Linked DNA regions of Oryzias latipes. The protein of the gene in region 2 interacts with the protein of the main gene of each other region in a pairwise test. Links are inferred from orthologs where the notes say so. Each region holds a gene or a part of one and is shown on either strand. Other genes may lie near its edges.

Evidence for each region.
Region 1: the proteins of gucd1 (region 2) and cth interact in binary tests that used the Homo sapiens proteins (3 or more experiments, as listed by UniProt). The two-hybrid records come from large-scale screens. The link is inferred for Oryzias latipes from reciprocal best matches to the Homo sapiens genes GUCD1 and CTH.

What each region holds. Positions count from the first base shown.
Region 1 is NC_019862.2:13,073,938-13,077,769, reverse strand, and holds part of cth (cystathionine gamma-lyase), read right to left. Parts: intron 3,748-3,832; coding exon 3,613-3,747; intron 3,520-3,612; coding exon 3,462-3,519; intron 2,456-3,461; coding exon 2,378-2,455; intron 1,253-2,377; coding exon 1,100-1,252; intron 1-1,099. UniProt on the Homo sapiens protein: Catalyzes the last step in the trans-sulfuration pathway from L-methionine to L-cysteine in a pyridoxal-5'-phosphate (PLP)-dependent manner, which consists on cleaving the L,L-cystathionine molecule into L-cysteine, ammonia and 2-oxobutanoate.
Region 2 is NC_019867.2:25,327,061-25,331,598, reverse strand, and holds the start of gucd1 (protein GUCD1), read right to left. Parts: upstream 2,943-4,538; 5' UTR 2,591-2,942; coding exon 2,584-2,590; intron 2,489-2,583; coding exon 2,404-2,488; intron 2,322-2,403; coding exon 2,156-2,321; intron 2,080-2,155; coding exon 1,988-2,079; intron 1,913-1,987; coding exon 1,671-1,912; intron 562-1,670; coding exon 470-561; 3' UTR 1-469.

The DNA.
Region 1 (3,832 bases), on a different chromosome or scaffold from region 2:
GTTAATTGCTCACCATTGAGATGGTAATTGCCCCAGTATCATTGTTCATTCCCCTCCGGGAATCGAACCCTGTATTCCTGCGTGGTAGCTTCTCACCTTACCAACTGAGCTACTCAGTCAAATTTGTTTTCCGCATTTGACCCATCCCCTGGGGGCATGGTGAGCTGTGCGGGACGCAGTAGTGTTAAGGGCCTTCTTCAAGGGCCCTCACTATGGTAATTGCCCATTCAGAATCAAACCCTGTATTCCTGCGTGACAACCTTCCACCTTATCAACCGAGCTACCCAGCCACTTAGATCAGTTCTTTGGTTTTACCACGTCCAACTTTATTTAACATTAAAATGATTTGCTCAGTCAGCATGTATGAATCTAAGGTAGCCCACCAGAGTATCTGGCAAGGGTAATCTGGCAACAACGTGCTCCCTCCACAGCTCACTGTGACGTTACTTTCTGTTAGGTAGTTAGCCGCTCAGCCCAGTGGAAATTTCAGAATAAAAGCACTTCCATTGCATCTTTACTTCGGTTGTGAGTTAATGTGTTGTGAGTTATTGTGTTGTGAGTTAATGTGTTGTGTTGAGTTAATGTGTTGTGTGGTAAGTTAATGTGTTGTGACCCTTCTGGGCCACCGTATGAATCCTTTTATACTTACTTAGGGTTTATGGGTCTGTTAAGCTCATTGCACCCATTTAGATGACACCTCTGCTGCTGTTCACTTACCTTTACACCCTACACACCGCTAGATGGCAGTGTTTACTCATCTGGAGTCACTTCTCTCCTTGACATTTAAGCATCATTTTACTGAATATCTGTTCTGTAAAATGAATAGTTTGGAATAGTTTATTTACTAAAAAAAAAAACTCTAAAACATTTGGGCTAAAAAATACGGTAAGAAAAGATATACAGTCAAAGAGAAGACACCTAATAAAAGCTACTTATATTCTATCATGCAGACTTGTTTAAATACAATAATTAAAAATATTCTGTTAAAACACTAAATACAGTAGAAATGTGCAACGAAAAAGTTCATTTTACAGTTGGGAGGTTGGAGTAAGTGGCCTATCCCACTAGTCGGCAAAATGGCTGAAGCCAATTCCATTACCAGGAAAAATGACTCGCTCCACCCTGGGATCCGCCTCCAGGAACTTAGCAGCAGCCATGCCGTTTTTGAAGTGCTGCTCCATTCGCAGGTGTAGCGTTTTCAGTCCACGGTTACACAGAAAACAGTCGAAGGGAGACGGGACACCACCCAGAGCTGTATCCCGACAAAAACAAAAGGCAGAAAAAAAACACAACTTCAAGTCTTGGCAAGCCAAAGAAGCAGGAACAATCCTCTTACACTGAAAGGGTCTCAAATTGGTTCTTACCTTTGGTTCATGTGTTAGTTGTTTACAAAGTAAATGTAGGTCAAATAACCAATTCACCAAATGTGGAGTGGAGCAAAAAGCCAGTTTAATGTAAGGGTTTCTGCCAAACTCAATATAAATTTATATACAGTACAGACCTTCCCATTTAAAGGAATGAGAAGGTGTGTCCAAACATTTCGTCTGTAATGTAATGTAATGTAATGTAATGTAAAATATATATATATATATATATATATATATATATATATATATATATATATATATATATATATATATATATATATATATATATATATATATATATATATATATATATATATATATATATATATATATATATATATTTTTATATATATATATATATATATATATATTTTTATATATATATATATATATATATTTTTATATATATATATATATTTATATATATATATATATATTTATATATTTATATTTATATATTTATATATATATATTTATATATATATATATTTATATATATATATATATATATATATATATATATATATATATATATATATATTTATATATATATATATATATATTTTTATATATATATATTTTTATATATATATATATATATATTTTTATATATATATATATATATATATATTTTTATATATATATATATATATATATATTTTTATATATATATATATATATATATATTTTTATATATATATATATATTTATATATATATATATATATATTTATATATTTATATTTATATATTTATATATATATATATATATATATATATATATATATATATATATATATATATATATTTATATATATATATATATATATATATATATATATTTATATATATATATTTATATATATATATTTCATATTCAAGAAAATAATGCAGTTTACATTCACCGAGAGTTTTCTTAGGCCAGCAAATGTTTCAAAATAAAAGCACTTGGTTTTCTCTCGCAGTAATCAGATTTATAACATTTGCAGCACCAGTGTGGCATTAACTCACCGTTTTGCAGAAACCTCAGTCGCTCACACAGACCCTCGTTGTTCAATGAGAGCATCCCCATCACCACATCACTGTGACCTGTGGAGCACAGGACACGACTGAAGAACCAGCCAAACCTTCATGCTGCAGTAAAACATGAACCAGTGTGCTGCTTGGATGGGGCATTCATTCATTCATATTCTAACCCATTTTGTCCCTTTCGGGGTCAAGGGGCTGCTGGAGCCTATCCCGGCCACTCGTGGGCGAAGGCAGGGGACGTCCTGGACAGGTCGCCAGTCTGTTGCAGGGCTTGGACGGGTCATTTCAAGTATAATTATGTAGATTTTGAAGTATGTTGCGATTTTAACTAGATCTAATTTGTAATATTCCAAAAGAAGATATTTATTTCAATTGGCCAATGAGATTTTTGTAACAAAAAATACAGGTATTTTCGATTCCCGGAGGGGAATAAACAATGGTACTGGGGGCAATTGCCCTATCAAAGGCGAGTGATTAACATCACCCAGTGGGGGTCCTTGGACAAGACCCTTAACCCTAAACGCTACTGCCTTCCGAGCGCAGTTTGGCTGCAGCTCACCGCTCCCCCAGGGGATGCGTCAAATGCAGAGAAGAATTTCCCCATTGTGGGATAAATAAAGTATCAATTATTATTATTATTATTATCATTGTTCGCTTAAAGAAAAACAAGGGTCTAAACCATTCAAATGAATAAGACTGCCAAAAACAACTTTTGCTTTATTATAATCTAAAAACATTGCCAAGTTAACCATGCGACTCATCCTCAAGGGAGGGTTGTCCCTCCCCTGCTGGGAGAAGCCGAAAGTGAAAGAAGATAATCTGATTTTTTAAGTCTTTATTTTTAGACAGTCAGATGGAAAAGATCATCTTACACATAAAAAAATCAAAATTACAAAACATTCAAATAAATTATTTTCATAAATCATCTCCTTTAAGTTTAGAAAAAAAAAATAACAGAAGATTCTAAAAACGTAGAAAGCCTTTAGTTAAACTGCTGCAAATAAATGACATTTACATAAAAGTTGATGCTTTCAAATGGCAAAACGTGATTTGACTCATGACTCACCGTTCATGTATTTTGTGGCCGAATACATGCAAATATCTGCTCCCAATGCCAGAGGGCGCTGTGGGGGTTCGGAATAAAACGCAGGAGGTATAATTCCATCAGCCATTTCCAAAAAAACTTACTAAGTGTGAAATGCACATCAATCCTTTACCTGGAAATACGCCGACATGAACGTGTTGTCCACGACAACCACGATATCCTTGTTGTGCTCGTGCACCAAATCGGAGCAGGCCTTGATGTCAACCACCTTCATCGTGGGGTTGGTTGGTGTCTCGATCCACACAAGCTGCACAAATATTCACTTATTTTAGCGTCAAAATAGGTGAAAAACACATTTTATCTCGACTTAACATATGAGAGTAGAAGGAAAA
Region 2 (4,538 bases):
CTGTTTGCTTTACTGTTTACCTGAGACTCGCAAAAACACCTGTTAACCGTTTTCCTCCGTTTGTGGACTCCTCTTCCTCGATGCCGTGGAGGCTTTTGAAGGCATGTGGAGGACTGAGCAGCTTCACATCAAACACAGCCGGCACACAATGCTGCATGTTTTCAATAGAAACCCTAAATTATCTGCACGTTACTTCCTGTTAAGTCATATTCCAGGTTCCCCACATTTTCACCAGATTAGAAGTCGACTCCCGGAATCAAAGTCTTTAAAAATAAAAACAAACTGGACCGTCCCATTGGTCGAAGACCATCCCCTTGAAATCAAGTTGCCCTTCGAGCTGGGACGTCCTCAGACGTTCGGTCAGACGTGTCTTTATTTACAAACGAAGGAGGAGATGTTGAGCCACTAGAGGGCAGACCTGCAGCGTCACCATGACACAAAAAACGATGGCATCCTCCTTTGGCGTCCATCAACTCTCCTTGTAGATGAAGAGGATGTCCTCGTCTGTTCCATAGCTCTGCCGGGCCTCCTCGAAGTTACTGACACTGGTGCAGCACACACCTGGAAGAAAAAACATGTTTTCCTGAAATGCTTCCATCAGAACTCCACAGACGAAAGAAAAAAAAAAAAAGGTTGCTGGTTCAGCCGGTCTGAAGCAGTCCAAAGATTCAAAGTCTGACCTTTTAGACAGCATCTGTAAACTGAAAATTTTGGGGAATTCACGAGAAAAAAAACCTGAGTAAATCAAAAATTTACAGTTGAAAGTTTCAGAGAATACAAACAGACATCAAACAAAAAGTTGCAAATAAGAAATGACAGAATTTAAATTCTGTAGATGGAACTTAAGAGGTAAATCAAAACAAAAATCATTCTAAATCTAATTGTTGCTATTGGAGCATTTTAGTTCATTGTTCAAAAAAAGCCATGAATCTGCTTAAAGACTCACTAATGAAAACGAGGTTTTTGGTGGTTTTGCAAGTTCTTATGGCATTTTTCTGAACATAAGCTTAAAGTTGCATGTCTGACAATTTCTTCATTTAAATTGTGAATCAGGAGCAGACTAAAAAAAAATTTTCTGTTTGATAAAGATTGTATTTGTTCACTGGGCGGACCACAGACTACCTGCTCCGCTCCATTCTGATGCATCCACTTGCAGACACATAGATCCATGTTTGTCTTTGTTCTCCTCGTCTGAGCTGGCATCTGGCTCAAAACAGTATGGCTGGATATAACTCCAATATTGCTCGCCATTTAAGTTGGGGGTGTGAGCGGCTATAAGCTAGCAGGAGAGCGTGTTAACAGAGCCCTCAGTTATGGGTGATGTGAAGAGGGCGGGGTTGGCCAACGGTCGTACTGACAACTCAGAGGTGAGTTTTTATTGAACTCCTGTCGCTCTGCAGAAACTATGTTCTAAAAATTGATACAGGTTTTTTGATTTGGGCTATAAATTGCACAATCATGGTTAAAAGATCACCGGGAACGCTTTTAAAATAGATCACAAGATGTTTGGAGTGGGACTTTATGACATAATGGACACATGCATTTTAAAAATGCTACTTATGCACCCTTTGTAACTAAAATGAACTTAAATGTGCAGCTCTTCTCAACCAGCATGGGTGAAAATGATCAAGATACATGTCTTTTTGGACAGAAGAGCTTTTTAAACTTACGGTCAGAATAAGCAGGGTTGTTGTAAAAGATGCTGCCAGCTGTCTTGTTGAAACCACATAAAACCACAAAGTGACCCTGGTACTCCGGCTTCCTGCAGAAACACTTCTGGCCCACGGGCAGGAAGCAGCAGTACTTGACAGGAGAGGAGCACAGCTCACAGGTCAGGATCACGGCGTTGACCAGCACTATGGCGACGTGGCCCTGCTCCAGGTGCGACTGGATCTGCTGAACCGTCACTGAACTGTGGGAGGATGGCACACGTTAGACATGACCTCCACAAGGCAGCAAACATGCGGGGGAATGAGCTGAAACTCACCACTTCCTGACAATCACACCTTTGCTTTCCGCCTTTAGGAAGAGTTCGTTCACTCGGTCTTCCTCTGTGTCAAAATGCTTTTTATAAAAGGACTGCAACACAAAGTAAACAGCATGATAATCAGAACTTCCAGGAGTGTTCTCAAACAGCAGAGACTCGGAGAAGTACCTGGTTTTTAAAGCCTTTATCCACTCCAAGAGTCTGTGTGTAGAAGCAGTGTTTGATTCCTAGATGGCTCATGAGGTAGGCCAGGTCAATGGTCCACACGCTCTCTGTGAGCTTCAGTTCCCAGCATGCTCTCTGAAACTCCTCATCACTCAAAGGGTGGAGGTACCTGCAGTCCACGTGGTCATGGTCTTGTTTTAAGGTGGTCTTACTGTTACTGATTCTTGGTGAAAGGTCAGAGGTGAACTTACTTTAGGACCATTCTGGAGCAGGCTAAGCCACAGTCCCAGTGGTAGAGCTGCCGGATGACAGGAACACTCAGCAGGATGGCATCCTCTGAGTGAGAGAACCAAACATCGCGTAAAGACTGCTGCTGTGTGTGTGAATGGGAAGATTTAACCCGGGTTAAATGGATGTGTCGCATTTCGTACCTGTCATTCTGCTGCGCTCAGTCTTTTAAGGACGGCTTGCTAACTCGAAGCAAACTCGATGGTCCTGTTTCCCCCCCCTGCAGGCGGGGCTGCCTTTCCTCATCTATGCCAACTAAAGAGGAAATATGCCGGGTACACGGTGAAAACGGCGCGTTTGGACACAGCCCCGCCAAACATACGATTATTGACAAGTACAATACATGGCAAAAATATAAAAAGGATTTCCAAAAAACAGACTCCGCTGTTATTGTCCTGCCAGCGCCTTCACCGTCTTCCTCACTTTTTCAGTTGTTTGCTAGTGGCCCAACACTGCCCACGGAGAAGCGTCGTGTTTAGCAAGCTTGTTGCTCTACTGCCCCCGTGCGGTGTGGAGGACTCACTCAAGGCAATTTAATGCAATGTTAGACAGAGAGAGAGAGAGACAGACAGACAGAGCGAGAGAGAGAGAGACAGACAGACAGAGCGAGAGAGAGAGACAGAGAGACAGAGAGACAGAGAGACAGACAGACAGACAGACAGACAGACAGACAGACAGACAGACAGACAGAGATAGTCAAAGAAGTCATTAAAGAAAAGTAGAAACATCTTTATCTATAAGCTATTTCTACCCTTCTTCAAAGTTCTCGTGTCCTCTTTGGAACCTGTCGACACATTTCCATGTTTTTGTACCAATTCATTTTAACAATTCATCCATATCATAATTTGTGGTTGCTGGTTAGATTCCCTCTCGATTTTGGTTCGATTGTAAGGATCCGACTGGATTTGAATAACTGAAAATCGATCTGGGACATATTTAGCCAAAAATCCACCAGTGTAATTCAGAGATAAATAGCTGGTACTGAACAGTGCAGGTGAAGCTTTCCAGATACCTTGTGTTTCTTGCAAGATAAGCAATTGTAAATTATGTGTATGTGTACAAACAAGAATACATGTCAAAACCATTTACATTTTAGTTTCCTAAAGTTCAGCCTGCTGTTGTTTTTCCACATCAAAATAATCCAAAGGGAACATTATTGGAACATTCTACCAGACTGTATGGTCACATGTCTTTGTTAAATTTTAAGTGTTTCCATACATTGGACTGGAATGATGGACTGATCGTTTTTTACTGTCATCACATGTGTGTTGTCCACTGTGATGTACTTGTTTTTTTATTGTAATAGTAAAATAAACATACTGTGCTGCATTTTCCAATATTGATATGATTGACTTATTTCATCTTGATAATGTTCAGGTTGGTTTGATTAAAAATTTCCCTCAGACAGATCAATCCAGTTGGATTGTAGTACTATAAATCGATTCATTGATTAAGTCAATTACTCGTTACACCCCTAGTTTATTTCTTTAAATGCTTTTATGCATATTTTTCAAGCACAAAATTAAAGTTAAACGTTGTAGCAGGACTTGTTGTGATGTTGTTGTCAGCTTTGTACAGAGAGCGGGCTGCAAAGTGGTACAGTGGTTGGCGCCTCTTGCCTCACAGCCAGGGGACCCTGGGACCTCCCTGTGTGAAGTTTGCATGTACTCCCCGTGTAAGTGTAGGTTTTCTCTGGGCACTCTTGACCTCTTCCCGAAAACATGCTTAACCGGTTAATATATGACTCGAAATTGTGCCTAGGTGTGTATTTGAATGCTAAAATTTAAACGCCACACTCACTCTGAACTGTCTCAGCTGACAGTTCAGAGTGAGTGAGACAGAAGTAAAAATCAAGGAAATCACACAATTTTTTTTAATTATTTTTAGAATAGTGCAGAATATGAGGAGTTAGGTAAACTTCAGCTACAAGACACAGAATGCGGGGAAACAATCGAGGAAATCACATAGTAGGATTTTAATGAAAGAATTGATAAATTAACTCCTACAAATAAGCAAGAATTCGGTTCCTCACAGACCTGTTACCACTCCTTTAAGAAGCTCTTCTGTCCAGAACTGGCCATCAGTATTTATGTATCTT